Linked DNA regions of Ovis aries. The protein of the gene in region 3 interacts with the protein of the main gene of each other region in a pairwise test. Links are inferred from orthologs where the notes say so. Each region holds a gene or a part of one and is shown on either strand. Other genes may lie near its edges.

Region 1 (4,086 bases), on a different chromosome or scaffold from region 3:
TATCTCCTGCCCACCTACTCTCCCGGCACCTGTCTGGGACCAGGAAGCCTACTTACATGGGGGCCAGTGGTGGGCGTGAAATGACTTCTGGGACTGTTAAAGACCAAAGGTGGCAGTAATTCCCAGCCACTCTTGATCACTCAGGCAGGTCACTGCCTCTGTGCCTGCACCTTTTCCGGGAGACTGGCCCCTTTCTGCACTGGTGCTAACATTGTAGAGGGGCATCCACATCTATGCTGGGCCTGGTCAGACACTGCTATTCTTCCCAGGCTCAATGGCACTGGATGTCCAAATGCCCTTGGCAGGCTGCAGGACCAGCCAGGGGAACATCCTGCCTCTTCTGAATGTCTAGAACAGAGGGTCTCCTGGTCTCCTGGGTTCTGAGTGCACAGTCTGCAACAGTTCAGCAATGTGCTGTCTTAACTGGTCCTTGCAACCCTGGGAGACTGGCTGGGCAATCGTGTTATTATTAGGCCCACCCAGTGGATGAGGAAACAGATGCCCAGAGATATTCTATGTCCTGTCTGAAGTTACACCAGGATTTGTCCCAGAGAAGACCAGGCAGGTCCTGTCTCCAAAGCCTCTTGACAAGACGTGTAGCTCTGTGAGCCCTGCGGTGCTCTAACAGGGGAATGCCAGCAGGGTTAAGGACTTTGAGACTTAGATTTTCCCTAGGAATGGGAGCCACTTCATGAGGTCAAGGGCAGGTGGTTTAGAGGGAGTGCATAAGATTTGGGGGCGATGGAGCCTGGATCAGAGATTGGGTCAAGGCCTGAGCCTTCTCCCTCTTGCCTAGGACTTTGACCACCACTGCAAGTGGGTCAATAACTGCATCGGTCACCGCAACTTCCGCTTCTTCATGCTGCTTGTCCTGTCCTTATGCCTCTACTCGGGTGCCATGCTGGTCACCTGCCTGATCTTCCTGGTGCGTACGACCCACCTATCCTTCTCCATGGACAAGGCCATCGCGTATCCGCTGGGGTGTGGGGACCCACGACCAAACAGTGAGGGTGGCGAGGAGCTGTCAACAGAGGGGCGGGGTCACCGGGGGGGGCAGAGTTAATGGTGAGCAGGGTTAGACGGTGAAGCCGCCTGACAGGACTGATCTGAGACGAGGTGAGGACAGATAGGGTCAGAGAGATGGGTGGGGATAGGAGGAACTGTGAAGGGGTGAGCTGGCAGAGTCAAGGATGGAGAATGCTAGAGGTGGCACGGGCCCTAGGCAGCAGGGTGGGCAGGGAGCTGGTGGGCGGGGCTACGTGTGGGCGGGGTTATGCTAGGGCCGGGGCCAAGGAGGTCTGCCCGGAGGCGCTGCTCCTTAGCTGCTGTGCAGCATCTTGGTTGCTGTACCCGCCGCCGGCTTCCTGGTGCCCCTCTTCCTGTTGCTGCTGATCCAAGTCATGTCGGTGAGCGCGGCGGAGCGGTCCTACGAGGGCAAGGTACGTGGGGACGAGCGGGGCGCCATGATGGTATCGGGCTGTGGGTGGTCACCTTACCCCTCCGGGCTTCCGCACCTTCCGCTTTCTCCTTCGCCCTGGTCTTTGATGGCCTGAGCTCTCTCGAAGGTGCCTCTTGAGCCCTTCCAGACGCAGATTCAAGCTCAGATCTCACCTCCTTCCGGAGCTCGGCAGTCACTCTTCTTGCGTCGAAGGTGCACTAGTGAGGGCTAGGCCCCGTGCGCATTATTTTGAGCCATGGGCGTGGAGGAGAGTGAGGCTGCATCCTGAGAGTGTGCTGACAAGGAAACGGAAATCAGAGTAACTCATCAGACACCAGCGAACGCGCTGAGAGAGGGGCCTCCCGACATTGTGTAGCACAAACTCAGAGCACTGAGAGTTCAGTGAGGACCGCGGTGTTGAGTAGGACGTGCCACTTAGCGGGTTTGGACGGCAGAAGGCGAGGCATTGCTGTGAGGGGCAAAGAGTGCAAAAAAAGCACGGAAGCCTGAAAGTCTGTGGAATGCTGGTAGGCGGGTGAGGGAACACTGCTGATCGCCGCAGGTGTGGCATGAGCAGTCAAGTGATCTGCCTGGGACTGACCAGATTTACAAGGCAAAGAAGTCAGGTGGATAATTTAATCTTGGTGCAGTGGAAACTTGGAAACCTTGATAGGACTTTTTTCTTTACACACAGTAAAGTTCACCCTTTTTAGTGCACAGTTGTATGAGTTTTGACAAACATACAGTTCTGTAATCACTGCCATAACCAAGATTTAGACTAGCTCCATCCACCCTCCCCTCACTCCCCAAATTCCCTCATGGACTTTTGTAGTCCATTTCTCTCCCAACTTGCAGCCCCTGGCAAATACAGAATTGTTTTCTAGCCCAACAGTTTCTCCTTTTTCAGAATTTCATATAAATATAATCATGGCCTTCTGAGTCTGGTTTCATTCACTCAATGTAATCCATTTGAGATTCATCCAGGTTGTTTCCCGTATCAGGAGTTTCCCTCTCTTTGCTTCAGTAGTATCTCATCAAACAGGTGTGTCACAGCTTCTTTACTCTTTTTTTGCCAGTTGAAGGATATCTGCATTGTTTTTGGATTTTGGTGATTATAAATGAGGCAGGACAGGAGAATGTTGGATCCCACCAAAAAAAGATAACCCATGTCCAAGGGCAAAGGAGAAGCCCCAGCAAGATGGTAGGAGGGGCAAAATCACTTTTAGAATCAAACCCAATACTCGCCAGAGAAACTTGGAGGGCTCAAACAAACCTTGTGTGCACCAGGACCCAGAGACCTCACAGAGGCTGAGCCAGAACTGTGTTTGAGTGTCTTCTGCCGAGGTACGGGTCAGCAGTGGCCTGCCGCAAGGGCAGGGGCTCTGGGTGCAGTAGACCTGGGTATGGCATAAACCCTCTTGGAGGAGGTTTCCATTAACCCCAGCATAGAGTCGCCAGAACTTACACAGGACTGGGGAAACAGACTCTTGGAGGACACAGACAAAACCTTGTGCAGACCAGGACCCAGGAGAAAGGAGCAGTGACCCCACAAGAGACTGAGCCAGACTTGCCTGTGAGTGTCCAGGAGCCTCTGGCAGAGGCGTGGGTCAACGGTGGCCTGCTGCAAGGTTGGGGGCACTCAGTGCCGCAGTGCATGCATGGGACCTTTTAAAGGAGGTCACCATTATCCTCATTCAGTTCAGTTCAGTTCAGTTGCCCAGTCATGTCTGACTCTTTATGACCCCATGGACTGCAGCACACCAGGCATCTCTGTCCATCACCAACTCCTGGAGTTTACTCAAACTCATGTCCATTGAGTCAGTGATGCCATCCAACCATCTCACCCTCTGTTGTACCCTTCTCCTCCTACCTTCAGTCTTTCCCAGCATCAGGGTCTTTTCCAGTGAGTCAGTTCTTTGCATCAGGTGGCCAAAGTATTGGAGTTTCAGCTTCAGCATCAGTCTTTCCAATGAATATTCAGGACTGATTTCCTTTAGGATGGACTGGTTGGATCTCCTTGCAGTCCAAGGGACTCTCAAGAGTCTTCTCCAACACCACAGTTAAAAAGCATCACTTCTTTGGCACTCAGCTTTCTTTATAGTCCAGCTCTAATCCATACATGACTGCTGGAAAAACCATAGCTTTGACTAGACGGAACTTTGTTGGCAAAATAATGTCTCTGCTTTTTAATATGCTATCTAGGTTGGTCATAACTTTTCTTCCAAGGAGCAAGCATCTTTTAATTTCATAGCTGCAGTCACCATCTGCAGTGATTTTTGAGCCCCCCCAAATAAAGTATGTCACTGTTTGCACTGTTTCCCCACCTATTTGCCATGAAGTGATGGGACCAGATGCCATGATCTTAGTTTTCTGAATGTTGAGTTTTAAGCCAACTTTTTCACTCTCCTCTTTCACTTTCATCAAGAGGCTCTTTAGTTCTTCTTCACTTTCTGCCATAAGGGTGGTATCATCTGCATATCTGAGGTTATTGACAATCTTAAGTGATCTGTCTGGGATTGACCAGATTTAAAAGGCAAAGAAGTCAGGTGGATAATTTAATGTTGGTGCAGTGGAAACTTGGCAATCTTAATTCTAGCTTGTGCTTCATCCAGCCCAGCGTTTCTCATGATGTACTCTGCATATCAGTT
Region 2 (4,061 bases), on a different chromosome or scaffold from region 3:
TTAGAGAGGCTCCACTCAGCATCCAACTAAGGGAACAAGGGCAACTGGAGGTGTCTGACTCACCAGACGCTTAAAGGTGAGCATCTCTTCACACAGGACTGACCTGCACTCAGCTTGCCCCGTGATCCCCCTGGGTGGTCTTGGTTTGGGCATTACCTTAGGAGGGAGTCAAGGACAGTTCCCCTTTTTACTATGTCATCATATTAAAAAGTGTATTTGGAGAACTGGAATTCATAATCAGAATTCAGACTACTGGCCCTGAATCCACTATTAACTCATATACCGTTTTGAACAAGCCAACCAAACTCAGTCTCCTCAGAAAATTTTGAATAGTAATAAAATACCACATGGCAAATAAGAATATGATCAGAATTCACGTGAGAATGTCATTTAAATATGAAAGCAAGAGTATATTCAAAAGGAAAAAATATTTAAACTCAAAATATTTGATCTCTAAGATTGACTTTATTGATAAAAGCAATTAAATTATTTAAGGACCTTATTTCTCTCAAGTTATTTCCAGTGATCAGATTCTGTGAAAATCCAAACCAGGCCACAAGGTTTTCTAGAGTAAAAACATCAAAAATGTTCATTTAAAAGTGCGGGTTCTGTGACATATTGCTATATGTGAAGATTAAGGTATACGTGGAAATTCTCAATAAATTAGTAAATTTATTATTCCCAATATCACGAAAAGAAGTCTAGAAGTCCACAGAATTGTGTTATAAATATAATACACTCTAAATATTTTTAAATGTTACTATTCTCATTCTATATAAGACCCCATTGAAAAGTCCGATAATAAAAAGTCACATATTATCTGAGTTTCTCTTCTTTCACAGCTCTAGCTTTGAAAATACAATACACTTGTACCAAAAAGCAAACAGCAGGAACACAGCAGCTAACGTGTTAAGTATGGCTTCAGGTGGGTGTTCCTTATAGCTTTTCACTAAATGAGAAAAAAATGTCCTAAAAGAGGCCTGGGAAGAGGAGAACAACTTCTACCAATTTAAAGTACAATTAGAGAATTCAAAGCACCAAAGTTTCTTAAAGCACAAAATAATTGTTTTTTTTTTAATGAAATAATTGTTTAAAAGCCATCCTCTAATTTAAATGAGAAAGTACAAATATTGCTCCTCTGAAATAACTCATGTCCCAAAGGAAGGAAAAACAAGAAAATATCCACTCTAATTGCCTTTGAATTTAACTGGACTATAAATTTTCTTATGATTTGGTCTTTAGAATGCCTAATTTATTTAAAAATAAAACCAGAAAGAAGATGGAAAATAGAAGCTTTATTTTCTATGCTGAGAGACACCTCTTTTGTCTCACTCCCATTACCTTCCAATATTTCAAATATCAGTTTATCCCCAGATGCTCAAGAGGCTAAAATGGACTTTACGGTTCCACCAACACCACATTTGCCTGAAATCATGAAATCGCTTCATTATGTGTTTAGTTTAAAAGCTTTCTTGATAGTTCCTGGACCTCCTCCCAGGCCCTTTCCTCCAACACACACACACACACACACACACACACACACACACACACACACATACCACCTCTCTCAAGCTGTTAGAGCAAAACGCCTAAATAACTCTCAAGATGAAAGACGCCAAATGCCAAAAAGACCGGAATTTAATTTTTCTCAAATCGTTCCTTCTCCCAGTCATTGCCACCCCTCCCCCCATGTGCCACTCCTAGTTTTTCAGTGTATCCCCCAAACTTATAAAGCAGCTGTTAACAGAGGGAGGGTGAGTTAACAAGAGTATAAGTAAACTCAGTGTTGTGTTGTGTTAAAGAAAAAAGGGTGCTTGCATGTGTGTGTGTTGAAGAGAGAGGAAGTTTTATGTATTAAGTAGGGAAGGGAAGTAGAATATATTCCTCTCTTTTAAAATATTTTAACTTATTAGACGCATCAACTCAAAAACTGAGAATCTAGCCAATTAGCAATCAATATACCCTAGCTTTACCTGGGGGAAATAAAAAGTTCAAGTGTCTCTGTACAGGGCAATTATTAAAATTATTCAAATGAGAAGTGGGATGCAAGGTGTGTCTTTTAAACTTCGGACAGAACCATTTCTAGAACCATTCCTGGGCTGGCAGGCAGGACAAGGAGTGCCCAGATGCTCTGTGAGGGATGCGCAAGGTAGCTGGCACTGGGAGGAACAAGCTCCCACTTGGTACCTAGAAATGCCAGCTCAAACGTATCAGCTGGCAAGCCCTGGGGCCATCCGGGAAGCTGAGGAAAGATGGGAAAATGAGCCTGCTTGCTCAGGCTGCCTTACTTTCTCTCTCTTCTCTACCCAGCCACAGACACACCTACTAGCTCAGGTTCTACAAAGGGCAAAGCCTCCGCACGTTCGCCATCCAGCTGGAAGCCAGGAACCCAGTCCACATGCACGTCCCATAACATTACAAAAGCTTACACTCTTCCCGGGGGTCGTGACTATCTGACCTGACTCCCCCAAAGTAAGCCTCTGGAGCGCATCAGTGTTGAAAGCAGCCCCACGAGCAGAGACACCAGCAGCCTCTCTCCCACTCTCACCAGTATCACGCGCTGGCGCCCAGAAAGGTGTCGATCCGAGACACCTCTGGAGGAATCGCGCATTCGCTTCGACTTACTTGGAGTCGCAAACGAGCGGTGCGCGCTCAGGCTGCCTTTGTTGATCCGGGAGAGGTTTTTCTGCCCTGAGTCCAGGTACCCAAGTCGCTGGTGCTCGCGGCGGCCGCTGCTCTCTGCGCCCGCACGCCCGGTGACTCCCTGCTCTCTTTCTTCTCCTCTCTCCACTTCGGCTTTTCCTCTGCTCTGCGGCCTTGGCGGGATTTTTGGACTGGAAGGCGGGGAACCCGATCCTGCCTCGGACTGGCGCACGCCCTGCCGGGGAGGGGACGGAAGGGAAATGGAGAATGGGAGGGATGTGAGGAGCGGGCAGGGAGAGGACGCGACTGGGGAGGGGGGAGCGCGCCGTTCCCTCGCGAGCTGATTGGGAAGCTGCTTCTTAAATGCGAGGTTCTCCCCCGGGCCGTCTCGGCCCCCACCCCCGGCGCCAGCACTCGAATTTGAACTCAAAGGCCGGGGGAATGAAAAACTTGTTTCGTTTTTAACAGGGACGGATGCAATATCCCTTTGCCAAACTTTGCGCAGGACCTTTTCTGCAGGTGGGTGCGAATCCCAGTTTACCAAGTAGCAGACCTGAAATGGACAGTTGAGGGTATCTTAGGTGACAGTTCGGGCCCCCGGCGATTTTTGTGATTGCTATTGAGGGTGAAAAACCACAGTCTTCAGAACCAAGCTCTGGTTTGTCCCCACCCCACCCCCAACGCCCTTCCCCCTCTCTCCCGAACAATCTCCCAAATCAATCACTCCAGCGGTCAGTCCCGTCCCACCTGCGCGTCACTAAATGTGCAAAGGACTTTTTGGCGCTTGTCACAAAGAGTGACAGATGTCTGAAAGTTCCCAATTAAATGCTACTTTCCTTTAGGGGGCTCTTTCTTTTTCTGGCTTCCTTGGTGCATTTAGTGACCTACTTAATGACATGTCTTTGACACTCAAGAATTTAGGGGCTTAATCCACGTGGCTCCAGCTCCGAGGTTTGTACAACTCAGAGGCTGGGCTTCCGTCTTTCTGGAATTTCCATTTTCTTCGAATGAGGACAGAAGTTAAGGTAATGTACCTAGGATTATTTGAGTAACACATAAATGAGTATTTGTGATATACATGAGAGCAACGTGTTGCGTGAAATGATTAAGTATAAACCAAATGTACCCAAGTACTGTCAAAAAGGAGATTCTCCTCTGCTCACCGGTTCTTTTCTGTTCTTTCTCTTGCTTCTTTTACTTCCTGTCCACTTATTATTTGATAGTGCCGACCCCAAACCTAGCTGCCAAATATTCCTCCCTTCCGTTTCCCATAGTTCTGAAGTAACTTCCTTTCAATTCAATTTAAGAGATAGCGACTAAGTACCTTATATAACTCTTAAAATTTACATAAATCAACCTAAACCCCCAAAAGCATTGTTTTGTGGGAAGTGGCTCTTAGGATCTTAGAGACTTTGATG
Region 3 (2,741 bases):
TGTGGGATCTTAGTTCCCCAGCAGGGATTGAACCTACAAATCCTGGATTGCAAGGCAAATTCTTAACTACTGGACCACTAGGGAAGTCCTCTCTTCTTTGGACCTTGTGGTTAAAAATTATTGTGGTAAAAGATGTATACAGTTTCCTGTTTTAGCCATTTTAAGGTCCGTAGTCCCATGGCATTTAGTACGCTTATAATGTCCTGTAGTTGGTCACTACAATCTAATTCCAGAACGTCCATCACCCCAAAATGAAGCCCCACCCCCAATATCGTTGTCTCCCAGCTCCTGACTACCAGTCACCCGTCTGTGGATCGGCCTGACGGTGTTTCCACATCAGTGGACTCAGAAATTCTACGGTCTTATGTGTCACTGGCATGCCCCGGTGTCCCTGGGGGGCAGCACTGCCCCACTGAGAATCACTGTTTTTAAGTCAAAAATGGATGTTCCTGGGAAAGTTGGTGAAATTGACAGGTTACAGTCAGAAGGGTGGGCTCAGGGGGACTTGGGTCCCAGGTAATGTCTCTTGCCAGCAGGGGGGAAGGGTCAAGCAGGGCCGCAGCGGGAAAAGGGGGCTGAGCCGTCTTCAAGTCCAGGACTCTCTTTGCAGCATGTCCGGCATGATTTCAGGCGGCCACAACCCCCTGGGGACTCCCGGCACCAGCCCCTCGCAGAATGACCTGGCCAGTCTCATCCAGGCGTGAGTAGACCTGCCAGGTGGGGCTCCTGGGTGGGGCAGGGTCCAAGGTCCCCGGGTGCTCTGTGGGGCCTCATCCTCCAGGGAGTGGTCCCTCTGCCCTCCAGGGGCACGTCAGGTAGGGAGAGGCGGCTGGGTGGGTGCCTTGGACCTGGCTGAGCCCAGGCACGCCTCCCCTGCCCCCACCTGCAGGGGCCAGCAGTTCGCTCAGCAGATGCAGCAACAGAACCCAGAGTTGATAGAGCAGCTCCGCAGTCAGATCAGGAGTCGGACTCCCAGTGCCAGCAATGATGACCAACAGGAGTGACCGCCCCGTGAGTCCCCGGAGCTGGGGGGCACCTTGGGCCCTCAGGTCTCTTGCCGGGTGGGCCCACTCAGGTGTTTCTCCCTCCAGCCTGCCCAGCGCCATCGGGTCCTTCCCGGCCTACAGGAAGCCTTCTTGACCTTTTCCGTCTCCTCCCATTGGATCGCCCACGAGAGAAAAAGAACTTGGACCTGCATGTTAAGCCGGATTTTTATGATGTTTACTTTTACTTCCTCCCCTCCCTCCCTTTTTATACTCTCTCACGGCCCCCAGATCCTTCTTGAAACAGAGCCAGCAAGCTGTGAGTGCAGACCAGCACCCGTCTCCCTCCTGGCCCCCTGCCCTGAAGACCTGGTCACTAAAGTATTTTCTAGAACATTCTGAGGTGGGGGTGGTCTTCTCACCGCTCTCCGAGAAGTGGCCTGTGGGATGCCGTGGCCCCGAAGCCCCTTCTTCAGCCCCCGCCTGCCTTCCCAGTCTGTCTGCAGGGCCTCCCAGCCCCCGAGAAGCCGCTTTCTGAGTTGACCGTGGCCTCCCTGGCCACCCCTGCTCAAGCGAGCTCACTGCCAGCCAGCCCGGCCCAGCAGACCTGGGTTCTCAGACAAGGAACTCCAGTTGCAAGTGCCCCAGAGGCAGTTTCTGCGCCCAGCGGGGGCCGAAGCAGACGTCTTGGGTGCACACAACCCATTTCTGGGACTTAAATTCCAGTCCAGTGCTCGGATGGACTCGGGTCTGATCGCCATGCTTTTCCCAGTGCTTACAATTGACAGACTGTGAGGGGCCTTCTCATGACCTTTGAGCTGGCTCCTGAGCCTGTCGCAGCCTGGCTGTGTATCCCAGCCACTGCCTTCTGTCCACAGGTGGTGGTCCTGCTGGCCTGGCTTGCCTGCATCCTCAGCGGGCTCTCCTCCTGCTTGGGGGTCAGGGCTATGGGGGTCCCTGATGACCACCTGCCTGGGCCTGAGATCACCGGGCAGCCACTGTGGATGTCCCTGCAGCCCAGGGCAGGGTGGAGAGGGTCCCTGGCACCGCAGCTCGGGCCACAGTGTTGGTGATGAGATCGCTGGAGGCTCCCTGATGGTGTCGGGTCCTGTGGGAGGTGACACCGTACCAGTACCGTGTGTGTAGGTAACTCGTAGAGACAGCCCCACACACATCCCACAAGGCGTCCTAACTCATGAGTGCTACCATGATGACGAGATAACGTGTGGGGAATAAATAGACATCGTGATCTCTGCTGGCCTCCATGTGGACCTCTCAGTGCCACTCTGCCCCCACCCCCTCACCTCCCAGAGCTTCCTGGAACCCCCAGTGTGGACCCTGCATGGGTCACCCTGAACCATTGACCCAGGTTGTGTGTGCCTTCCCTGTCACCTTGAAGACAATCTCACAAATTTGGTGGCCTTTAACTACACACAGTGTCTCCATCCTGGAGGCCAGAAGTCAGACTGGGGACCCCCTTGGGCTAAATCCAGGTGTGGATGGGTCTGGCTCACTCCCTGTCCAGAGGCTGACGTGTGGTGTAGGTGCAGGGGGTGTCAGGCCTGCACTCGACTCCCCCGGGTCGCTGGGCTGTGGGAATGCTTTGGGGCCATACCACTTTCTTTGGCCGTGACCTCTGTGGCTTCCAGTGGGTGTACTCAGCCTCTGGTGACCTTGAGCTGCTCTGTCCTGCTGAGGACCTCCCCATGTTCCCTGCCACTTGGATGGTGGCCAGTAGGTCACAAAGGAAGTTCAGGG

The links.
Region 1: the proteins of SGTA (region 3) and TFRC interact in binary tests that used the Homo sapiens proteins (3 or more experiments, as listed by UniProt). The two-hybrid records come from large-scale screens. The link is inferred for Ovis aries from reciprocal best matches to the Homo sapiens genes SGTA and TFRC.
Region 2: the proteins of SGTA (region 3) and PTN interact in a two-hybrid assay, tested with the Homo sapiens proteins (2 studies listed by BioGRID and IntAct). The link is inferred for Ovis aries from reciprocal best matches to the Homo sapiens genes SGTA and PTN.

Annotation. Positions count from the first base shown.
Region 1 is NC_056054.1:191,631,582-191,635,667, reverse strand, and holds the start of TFRC (transferrin receptor protein 1), read left to right. Parts: upstream 1-1,273; coding exon 1,274-1,439; intron 1,440-4,086. Other genes in the region: palmitoyltransferase ZDHHC19, read left to right, coding at 797-1,063. UniProt on the Homo sapiens protein: Cellular uptake of iron occurs via receptor-mediated endocytosis of ligand-occupied transferrin receptor into specialized endosomes. Endosomal acidification leads to iron release.
Region 2 is NC_056057.1:102,434,100-102,438,160, forward strand, and holds the start of PTN (pleiotrophin), read right to left. Parts: upstream 2,814-4,061; 5' UTR 2,626-2,813; intron 1-2,625.
Region 3 is NC_056058.1:18,712,593-18,715,333, forward strand, and holds the end of SGTA (small glutamine-rich tetratricopeptide repeat-containing protein alpha), read left to right. Parts: intron 1-610; coding exon 611-700; intron 701-889; coding exon 890-1,004; 3' UTR 1,005-2,237; downstream 2,238-2,741. UniProt on the Homo sapiens protein: Co-chaperone that binds misfolded and hydrophobic patches-containing client proteins in the cytosol. Mediates their targeting to the endoplasmic reticulum but also regulates their sorting to the proteasome when targeting fails.